Linked DNA regions of Drosophila melanogaster. The protein of the gene in region 2 interacts with the protein of the main gene of each other region in a pairwise test. Each region holds a gene or a part of one and is shown on either strand. Other genes may lie near its edges.

Evidence for each region. Proteins that work in one complex are often made in the same cells at the same time.
Region 1: the proteins of CG18284 (region 2) and Ptp4E interact in a two-hybrid assay, tested with the Drosophila melanogaster proteins (one large-scale study listed by BioGRID).

The regions. Positions count from the first base shown.
Region 1 is NC_004354.4:4,937,488-4,942,189, reverse strand, and holds the start of Ptp4E (protein tyrosine phosphatase 4E), read right to left. Parts: upstream 3,063-4,702; 5' UTR 2,990-3,062; exon of another isoform or gene 2,886-2,989; intron 2,754-2,885; exon of another isoform or gene 2,658-2,753; intron 2,610-2,657; exon of another isoform or gene 2,515-2,609; intron 1,769-2,514; 5' UTR 1,544-1,768; coding exon 1,343-1,543; intron 1-1,342.
Region 2 is NT_033779.5:10,642,027-10,646,410, forward strand, and holds CG18284 (uncharacterized protein), read left to right. Parts: upstream 1-1,944; 5' UTR 1,945-1,968; coding exon 1,969-2,124; intron 2,125-2,318; coding exon 2,319-2,459; intron 2,460-2,531; coding exon 2,532-3,071; intron 3,072-3,133; coding exon 3,134-3,289; intron 3,290-3,343; coding exon 3,344-3,724; 3' UTR 3,725-3,865; downstream 3,866-4,384. Other genes in the region: CG31872 (uncharacterized protein), read left to right, coding at 1-67, 151-690, 758-913, 972-1,349.

The DNA of each region.
Region 1 (4,702 bases), on a different chromosome or scaffold from region 2:
TAATGACCTGCGATCCGCAATCGCGGCAATGCCCAGATAAAATGAAAGCCAAAGTCACAGTGCCAGAAACACGTGAGTTATGAATATGAAGCATGTGGAAAGAAAAAAAAAAAACAAAACTAAGACGGCAGTGCATTCAAGTTATTGTGGCCAAAGAAACTGCGAAATCAGGGACAACTTTATTGTTGTTGTGATCATCTGAGATACAAAGAATACACAAACTGCAGCAGCAAAGATACAAGTTTTGCCATCTATTTATTAAGGCTTTGATTTCTATAGTTTTTTTTATTTTTTATTATTTCAAGCTTAGAAACAGTTTACGACTATGCTGGGCTATCTCGGGGAATCGCTCGATAAGCGTATTGAAATTTTTTCAGAGTGAGGAAGTTGCGATGGACAGCGTCATCAGAACCAACCTTGATTTTAACTTGCGTTCGCTTTTTAGTGTTTTCATCATTTTTTTTTTTTTTTTAACTTTTTACTTGTTGCGTTGCGATGGTTGGGATTTTGTTTTTATTGTCTTTCGTTTGCGCTGAAACAATGCGACAACAATGCAAAACGAAACGAAATGAAACGAGTTTTGTGAACGAGGTAAAAAAAAAAACTCAGGCAATAAAACAAGGAATAATCACGGGAATAAGCCCACAAATCACCCAACAAAATCAAATTTAATCACCGGATTCATCACCTGTGTGTGTCATTTCAAATTGACTTGGGCCTAAACTTCTAATTTGCGCTTCTAAATTGCCTTTAAAGATTTCGAGCTATGCAATCAATAGTTTGACTACCGAAGTTTGATCAGATAACAAGTAAACCTGGTTTGAAATATTGAACACATTAAATATTTGTATCTCACTATTCGATTTTATATGAAATCTGGATTTATCGTAATTTTAGTTCAATTTTAGTGAGCGGTTGAGCGAGTTCATATTAAAATAACATAACACCCAGCCAAAATCACAACTAGAACCGGCCAAACGAGTTCCTAAAACGCACTCAGCGAATCAAAAACCCAGTTAAGACATTTTCTGCCACTAAATGTGGAAAATAGTTGGCTTGTAATTTTCGAAAAAAAAAGAATCAATAAAAACAGAAAAAAACATTTCAAAATAATTAGCAAATTGTCTGTGTTGCTGGCCAATCTATGAAATCTGCATTGTAATTAGTTAAAATATGAATATTTTTGACAACCCTGCGCCATCCATTAGGAGTCCTCAGAATTTTCCCAACGAATTTCCCCCAAATCATAGAGGTAACTAACTTTGCGGGTTTACCTGTCGCTTTATCTTTATCACTATGTTTTGTTGTTGTTTCTTTTCCTTCATTTTTTTTTCTCACTCACCTGAGCCAAAAAAATTGTCAAAATGCCAACAACAAGCCACACGAAATGTTTTTGTTGTTGTTGTGAATTTTGGTAGTAGTGGTGGTGGTTGTGGCGTTGTTTTTGTAATTGCTGCCGCTTTCGTCCATGTGTTTGTATTTGTATTTGTTGCTGCTGATGATGTGCCCGTAATTGTTGTTGTTTTCGCGTGGCACAGTCCATTTTCAAGTACAGTAAAACCCAATGATGGTCGAAGGTTTCGCAGATTGCTGGTTTTACTTTTCAAGCGGGGATGGGCGGTGTTTTGCGCTTATTGTTTTACACATGTATGTACGTTTGTATTGCATATACATTTCTGTTGGCCGTTACATGGTCATTTGTTTGTATTGCACACGCATATTACGTTTCCTCTATTACTTAATTAATATTGCACTTGTATTGCACTCTCTGTAACGGGAAACGGGAGAGCAATGATGAGCGCGATCGAGAGCGAGAGCGGCAGATGTGGGCCCATTGTAATTGTTGTTTTCTAATACGATTTCCATTAACAATCGCCGGCTAATGCACGAAAAATGATTTATGTCCAAGCGAATTTGTAACGGCACATGCGTGCGGGAGAAGAAGAAGCAGAAGCGAAAGCTGCAGGTGAAGAGCAACACTGATCGTGGAGGGGGAAGCGGCTGGCTATGGAAATGTGAGCCACGCACAAGTACAAGTGCGTGTGCATGAGCGCTGCAAGTGTGTGATTTGATGCAGACACACATGCATACATAATCACACTCACACGCATTTGTGGCTGTAACGGCGCTTCACTACAAGTACAGTGGGCCCTCCCTGCTATTGAACACGCGAGCATGTAAATCTAACGAGATTTAGAAGTTAATATATGAAATGTAAATTCAATGCAAACATATAACGAATTTGGTTAATATGCCCGACAAAGTTTCGATTAGCGAGTCTTCACTGTGGCATTACAGTTTGCTACCGTTGTTATTGTTGCTGCATTACGAAATATCCAGCAATTAACAGACAATTGTTGTTGCCGCCGCTTTTTGCACTTCATATTTGCACTACCACTAGCTGAGCAGGTGTGTGTGTAGGTGTATGTGTAAATTACAGGTACTAGGGTAATATAAATTACAATAGTAGGCGGTTAATGGTGATTGCATTAAATGCTAATTGCACGCATTTACTTTTACTCCACCCTTGCTCTCCCACTCGCTCTCTCTGCCACACACACACTCGGACACACTGATGCAATGACTAAATGCGGCGGCGCAACGGCGTCGACGTTGGCAGCGACGGCATGGACGAAAAAAAAACTAATTCACTTGACTGTTGCTCTTTTTCTTCTGCTTCCTCTCCTCTCCACCCTCTTCATCCGCTTCTTCTTGTTTTCGTTGCACACCAATTTAAAACAAACTAGTCACGTTTCGTTTTAAGCGGAAAACATAAAAACAGAATATAAACTTCTGGCGCGTCGGCGCATTTGTTTAAAAAAAAAGAAGTCACAAACAAAAAATTTAGGCTTTAGTAACCGTTATTATGCAGAAAATAAACTGACACTTTTATTGACCGACAACTTGTTACTGACAAGAAAAAAAATAAGAAAAATTGGTTGCGAAAAGGAATCGGCCACGACAAATTGAAGCGAATGACTGCACGCACTTTTCACCACTGTTCATCAATGAATTTCCACATTTTCTGCCTTTTTGGACGACCGTCGCTTAACGAATGAATATAAATACAATACAAAGGCGTGACCGCCGCGCAGTGCTGCCGAAAAACAGAAAAAAAAACCCAAAAATACTGAATAAATACCACATATTTTACACAACACAGGGTCACTCATAATTTATTTAAAATTGTTAAATTTCTTAAAGAATATATTGTTAATATTATATGACATGTTTTGCTCATGTTTGACCAAATTTGATGTTTCGTTGATTCGGAAAGCGAAATTTAATTCATGCAGTTGATATTCAACAAGTATTCGTGCAGTCACACTTTGCAATTTCAAAAATTGCAATTTGGTAATTATTTCCAATGGTATTATTATAACTTTGTCATTTTTATTACTAGTCTTCTAATAGAAAATACAATTTATTTTATATATTGATATATTTAGTAAATAAAATAATATTTTGAGCACTTGTTAAAAATGTATCCATGTTTTCATAATAAACAGAACACACCAACTCAAACAAATTTGAAAATATCTAAAATTCGTTTATATTTGCAGAGAAGGAAATACCAGGTAATAAGTGAATTAAACTGTTTTTACTGAACTTTTTACAAAAATTTTATAATTATTTTTTTATTTTTTTTTAGATATGCAATATGAAAATTATATCAAGCAAGCTTAAGAAAGTTATATGAGCACCGGCACTCAAGGCTCACAGCTCGTAGAGTAAGTAGCTATCTTATGGTATTATTATATACAGGTTCATTTTTATTTGGTTTTAAAATACATATATCTCTGTATATATAACAAGTTTTTTTTCGTAGAACCTCAGAATAATCTCGAAGTGGTTTTGTGTGGGGTTAGCTAAGACGTTTTGAGACCAAAAAATTTATTAAATTATATATCAACAAAATTTAAATTAAACGTATTCGTAAATTAAATAAAATGTAAAACAGGAGTATGACCAGCTAGCTGTATTCAGTATTTTTGTTAAATTTAATATATTTCTTTAATTCTGTTAGGTAGCTGTAGCGTTAACAGCACTAATCGATAAATTGCCGAAGCTGTTAGGAGCTAACATACAGTCACTAGCAGAACGTCAAGTTGATGTCAGTAGCAATCAAAAGTGAAAAGGAAGCGAAAAAGTGCATTTTAAACTGAAAATAAAGTGTGATAAATAACAGTTGTAAAATCGAGCGGCTCAACCAAGGTAAAGATTGCAAGTACTATTTGATTGTCACAACATATCATATATGTTAAATATGTAACATATTTAAGGAGCAACACAAGCAACATACAACTGTGGTGAATGTATCTGTGTAAATATTGCCTTGGTGTGCGTGCAGTCGGCTTCATTTTGTTTTGCTGTTGACCTTCGCAGATCGAAAATGAGTTTAAATCGAATTCGTAAAAAAAAAGCCGCTTGAACTCTTCCAATGTCAAAAGCAGCGTTCAGAAACTGCGGCAATTGTGCGAAAAACACCAGAAAATAACGCCATCAATAAGTAGCACACAATACATGCAAATGTGTTTTTTTTTCTTGTGTCTTTTGCGCGCGCTTTCTCTGCAAATGTATTACTTAACAGTCGCTCTCTACGTCCCCATATCTCTCTCTCTCTCTTTCTCGCTCTAGAAATATAAACTAAACATTTTCTGCCTTTTTACTTTCTTTTTCCGGCTTTTTCTTGTTTTTGCCT
Region 2 (4,384 bases):
CCAGAAAGCTAGTTACCCACAATACATTACGGAAGTGGACATCGAGATTGACGCCAAGCTGGACACGGTGAGCCATTTCACTCAAGAGATTCCATGGGGACAGCAGTTACTATAATAAAGGTTTCTATATATTTCTCTATCATTTGACAGCCCAAAATGATCTCAAAATATGGCCATCAAGCAGAGACCCATTACGCATTCACTGCCGACGGCTACAAGCTCTGCCTGCATCGGATTCCGCGATCTGGAGCCACACCCGTCCTATTGGTCCATGGCCTCATGGCCAGCTCGGACACTTGGGTGCAGTTCGGTCCATCCCAGGGTCTGGCCTATATCCTGTCCCAAAGCGGCTACGACGTCTGGATGTTGAACACTAGGGGTAACGTTTACTCAGAGGAGCGCCTGGCCGGTCGGGAGAGCGACAAGATCTTCTGGGACTTCTCCTTCCACGAGATCGGGCAGTACGATCTACCCGCTGCCATCGACTTGATCCTGCTGCAGACTAAAATGCCGAGCATCCAGTACATTGGTCACTCGCAGGGATCCACGGCCTTCTTTGTGATGTGTAGTGAAAGACCTGAGTATGCAGGCAAGATCTCATTGATGCAGTCCCTCTCGCCATCAGTTTATATGGAAGGAACACGCAGTCCAGCACTCAAGTTTATGAAAGTTCTTCAGGGTGGCTTCACAGTAAGTACAGGAGAAGTTTAAAAGGTATATCATTTCTATATGGTTCGATATATATTCAATATTATAGATGCTGCTTAATCTCCTGGGCGGCCACAAGATCTCCCTGAAAAACCGGATCGTTGACATGTTCCGTAACCACATCTGCAACAAGCTTATCCCCAGTCGCATCTGTGCCATCTTTGAATTTGTGGTCTGTGGATTTAACTTCAACAGCTTCAATATGGTAGAAAACAAGTCCCTGATTTTGTTTTCAAGGGTTCAGATATTACCTTCTTTTGTAGACACTATCCCCCATTTTGGAAGGTCACGCCTCGCAGGGAAGCTCCGCCAAGCAGATCTATCATTTCGCCCAATTGCAGGGCAATTCTGCTTTCCAAAAGTACGACTACGGGCTAATTCTGAATAAGATACGCTACCAGTCGATCTTTCCCCCACTTTACAACCTTTCCCTGGCACTGGGCAAGGTGGCTCTTCACCGCGGAGATGGCGACTGGTTGGGATCCGAATCGGATGTCCTTCGACTGGAGCGGGACCTGCCCAACTGCATAGAAAACAGGAACATTCGCTTCGAAGGATTCTCGCACTTCGACTTCACGATTTCGAAGGATGTTCGATCCTTGGTCTACGATCGCGTAATCGATTTGTGCGGTTCAAATTGAACTTTTAGCTTACGAATGAAATATTAGCAAATCAATTAATAGATTTGCTTGGCACATATGTGAAATTGCCTTTTCCTAAGGGCTCGGAAATAAATATAATTTTTATTAAGGGAAATTAAATATATACAAATATTTTACAATTTTCCCAGCTGTAATAAAGAAAGACTTTTATTATGATAATCGAAAATATGGAAATGAATAAACCGACAAAAGTCGCCAGTGTTTAGGGTGAATTCAGGCCAGAGACAATTGTTATGTTTTTATCCGTGTTATTTAATGAGGTCACAAATCAATCAAACAAAATACTAAAGAATAACGATACCTATCATACTAAGTACAATCTTCTTTTACGATTAATTATGATCAACCTGTAATTCAAGCTCCTTTAAAAAGTTACGATATCTTTACATCTAGCTGCTTGAATACAAAAAATGTATTTATTAAACCCTTGATCAAGGTTGCCCTTTGTTAAATATTACTTTAGTGATGCTCGATCGATATGTTAATCTAGTTATTCACTCCAAGCATGGATATTTTAATTTCAGGGTATTTTATCATTAACGCTATAAAAGAGTTCGATTTCATTTCTGCCTTCGAGAGTAGACAAGAAGGGAACGAAATGGCGATCGCATTTAATATTGCGATCTATGCAATAATTTTAGTGGGTAGTTTGGTACCCAGCAAGACTCAGGAATGGGTTCCATATGCATATCCTGTAGATGAAAATCAAGGATTGAATGAACAGACACAGTGGCAGTCACAATCACAGATTCAGGTAAACAAAGAGAGTGCAAAGCAGCTAAGATCCGTTGGACCTAGAACAACCACTACCTAAAAAACCCAAGCTTACCGTCAAGGGTAAACTCAATCACAGTCGCAAGATTTATTGTAAGGACGTGCTTAATCACCTATAAACTACAATCACAACCTCTCAATCGGAAGCCTAATCAAGCGTAATTCCCATTTCAGAGTCAAGGGACGTCACAATCACAAAGTCAAGCTCAAATTCAATCACAGCCTGAACCAAGGTCATGTTTACAATGTCAACAAGCTAGTTACCAACAATTCTTTGCGGAGGTGGACATCCAGATCGACGCCAAGCTGGAGACGGTGAGCCATACCACTCATAAGATTACACTTGGACAGCATGCAGTAACTATATATTTTTCTATCGTTTGACAGCCCAAAATGATCTCAAAATATGGACATCAAGTAGAGACCCATTACGCATTCACTGCCGACGGCTACAAGCTCTGCCTGCATCGGATTCCGCGGTCTGGAGCTACACCCGTCCTATTGGTCCATGGCCTGATGGCCAGCTCGGCCACTTGGGTGCAGTTCGGTCCATCCCAGGGTCTGGCCTACATCCTGTCCCAAAGCGGCTACGACGTCTGGATGTTGAACACAAGGGGTAACGTTTACTCGGAGGAGCGCCTGGCCGGTCGGGAGAGCGACAAGATCTTCTGGGACTTCTCCTTCCACGAGATCGGGCAGTACGATCTACCCGCTGCCATCGACTTGATCCTGCTGCAGACTAAAATGCCGAGCATCCAGTACATTGGTCACTCGCAGGGATCCACGGCCTTCTTTGTGATGTGTAGTGAAAGGCCTGAGTATGCAGGCAAGATCTCATTGATGCAGTCCCTCTCGCCATCAGTTTATATGGAAGGAACACGCAGTCCAGCACTTAAGTTTATGAAATTATTTTCGGGTGGCTTCACAGTGAGTGCATGAAATTCCTAAACAATATGTATATATTTAATGCTCTCCATTTCTTTCAAAAGATGTTGTTGAATCTCTTGGGCGGCCACAAGATCTCCCTGAAAAACAAGATTGTTGACATGTTCCGTAACCACATCTGCACCAAACTTATCCCCAGTCGCATCTGTGCCATCTTTGAATTTGTGGTGTGCGGATTTAACTTCAACAGCTTCAATATGGTGGGAAATTCATCACTAATTTGGATTTCACGGGTTAATATTGATTTTTTGTAGACACTATCCCCCATTTTGGAAGGTCACGCCTCGCAGGGAAGCTCCGCCAAGCAGATCTATCACTTCGCCCAATTGCAGGGCAATTCTGCTTTCCAAAAGTACGACTACGGGCTAATTCTGAATAAGATACGCTACCAGTCGATCTTTCCCCCACTTTACAACCTTTCCCTGGCACTGGGCAAGGTGGCTCTTCACCGCGGAGATGGCGACTGGTTGGGATCCGAATCGGATGTCCTTCGACTGGAGCGGGACCTGCCCAACTGCATAGAAAACAGGAACATTCGCTTCGAAGGATTCTCGCACTTCGACTTCACGATCTCAAAGGACGTTCGATCCTTGGTCTACGATCGTGTAATAAGTCTTTGTGGTTCTAATCGTTAAATGCTTAGATAACAAATTGTACTCTTAGCTTACAACTGAAATACAATCAAAGCAATTAACTGATTTGCTTAGCACAATCATTTTTTGAGGACTCGCCGCCAATGTACCTAATAATACAAAAGTAAAGAAAAAACAAAGAATAATAATTCTATTTAAAATAATATAGATACATGTTTCAGTAATTATAAAGAAAAAAGAATTCTTGGAAGAGGGGGAAAAATACTTGCCTTGATCATATAACATTTCCTAACAATGCGGGTGGAATCAGCATTCAGAATGAATTCCACCCATTGTTTAAGAGATTTTCATTATATTATATTATATATTATATCATATTATATAGGCGCTAAGTACATTTCATGGTTGAAATCTCCCTATGTGTAGACCTTTAATTCTTTCAACACTTCTGATCCAAAAAGCTTTAAGTAGCCAAATCTATATTACGAAATTATTGCTTGTTGACACTTGTAAGGATATCTATTTAACGCCAGGATTCAAAAATTATAATTTTCAAGGTTTTTTTTCCCTGCCAACCATTGGAAAATTGTATTGTAGTGATGCAACATCGGTATGTTAATTTAGTTATCCACTCCAAGCATGGTTATTTTAATTTCAAGGTCTTGTATCTTTTAACCTATATAAACGAACGATTCCTTCGCT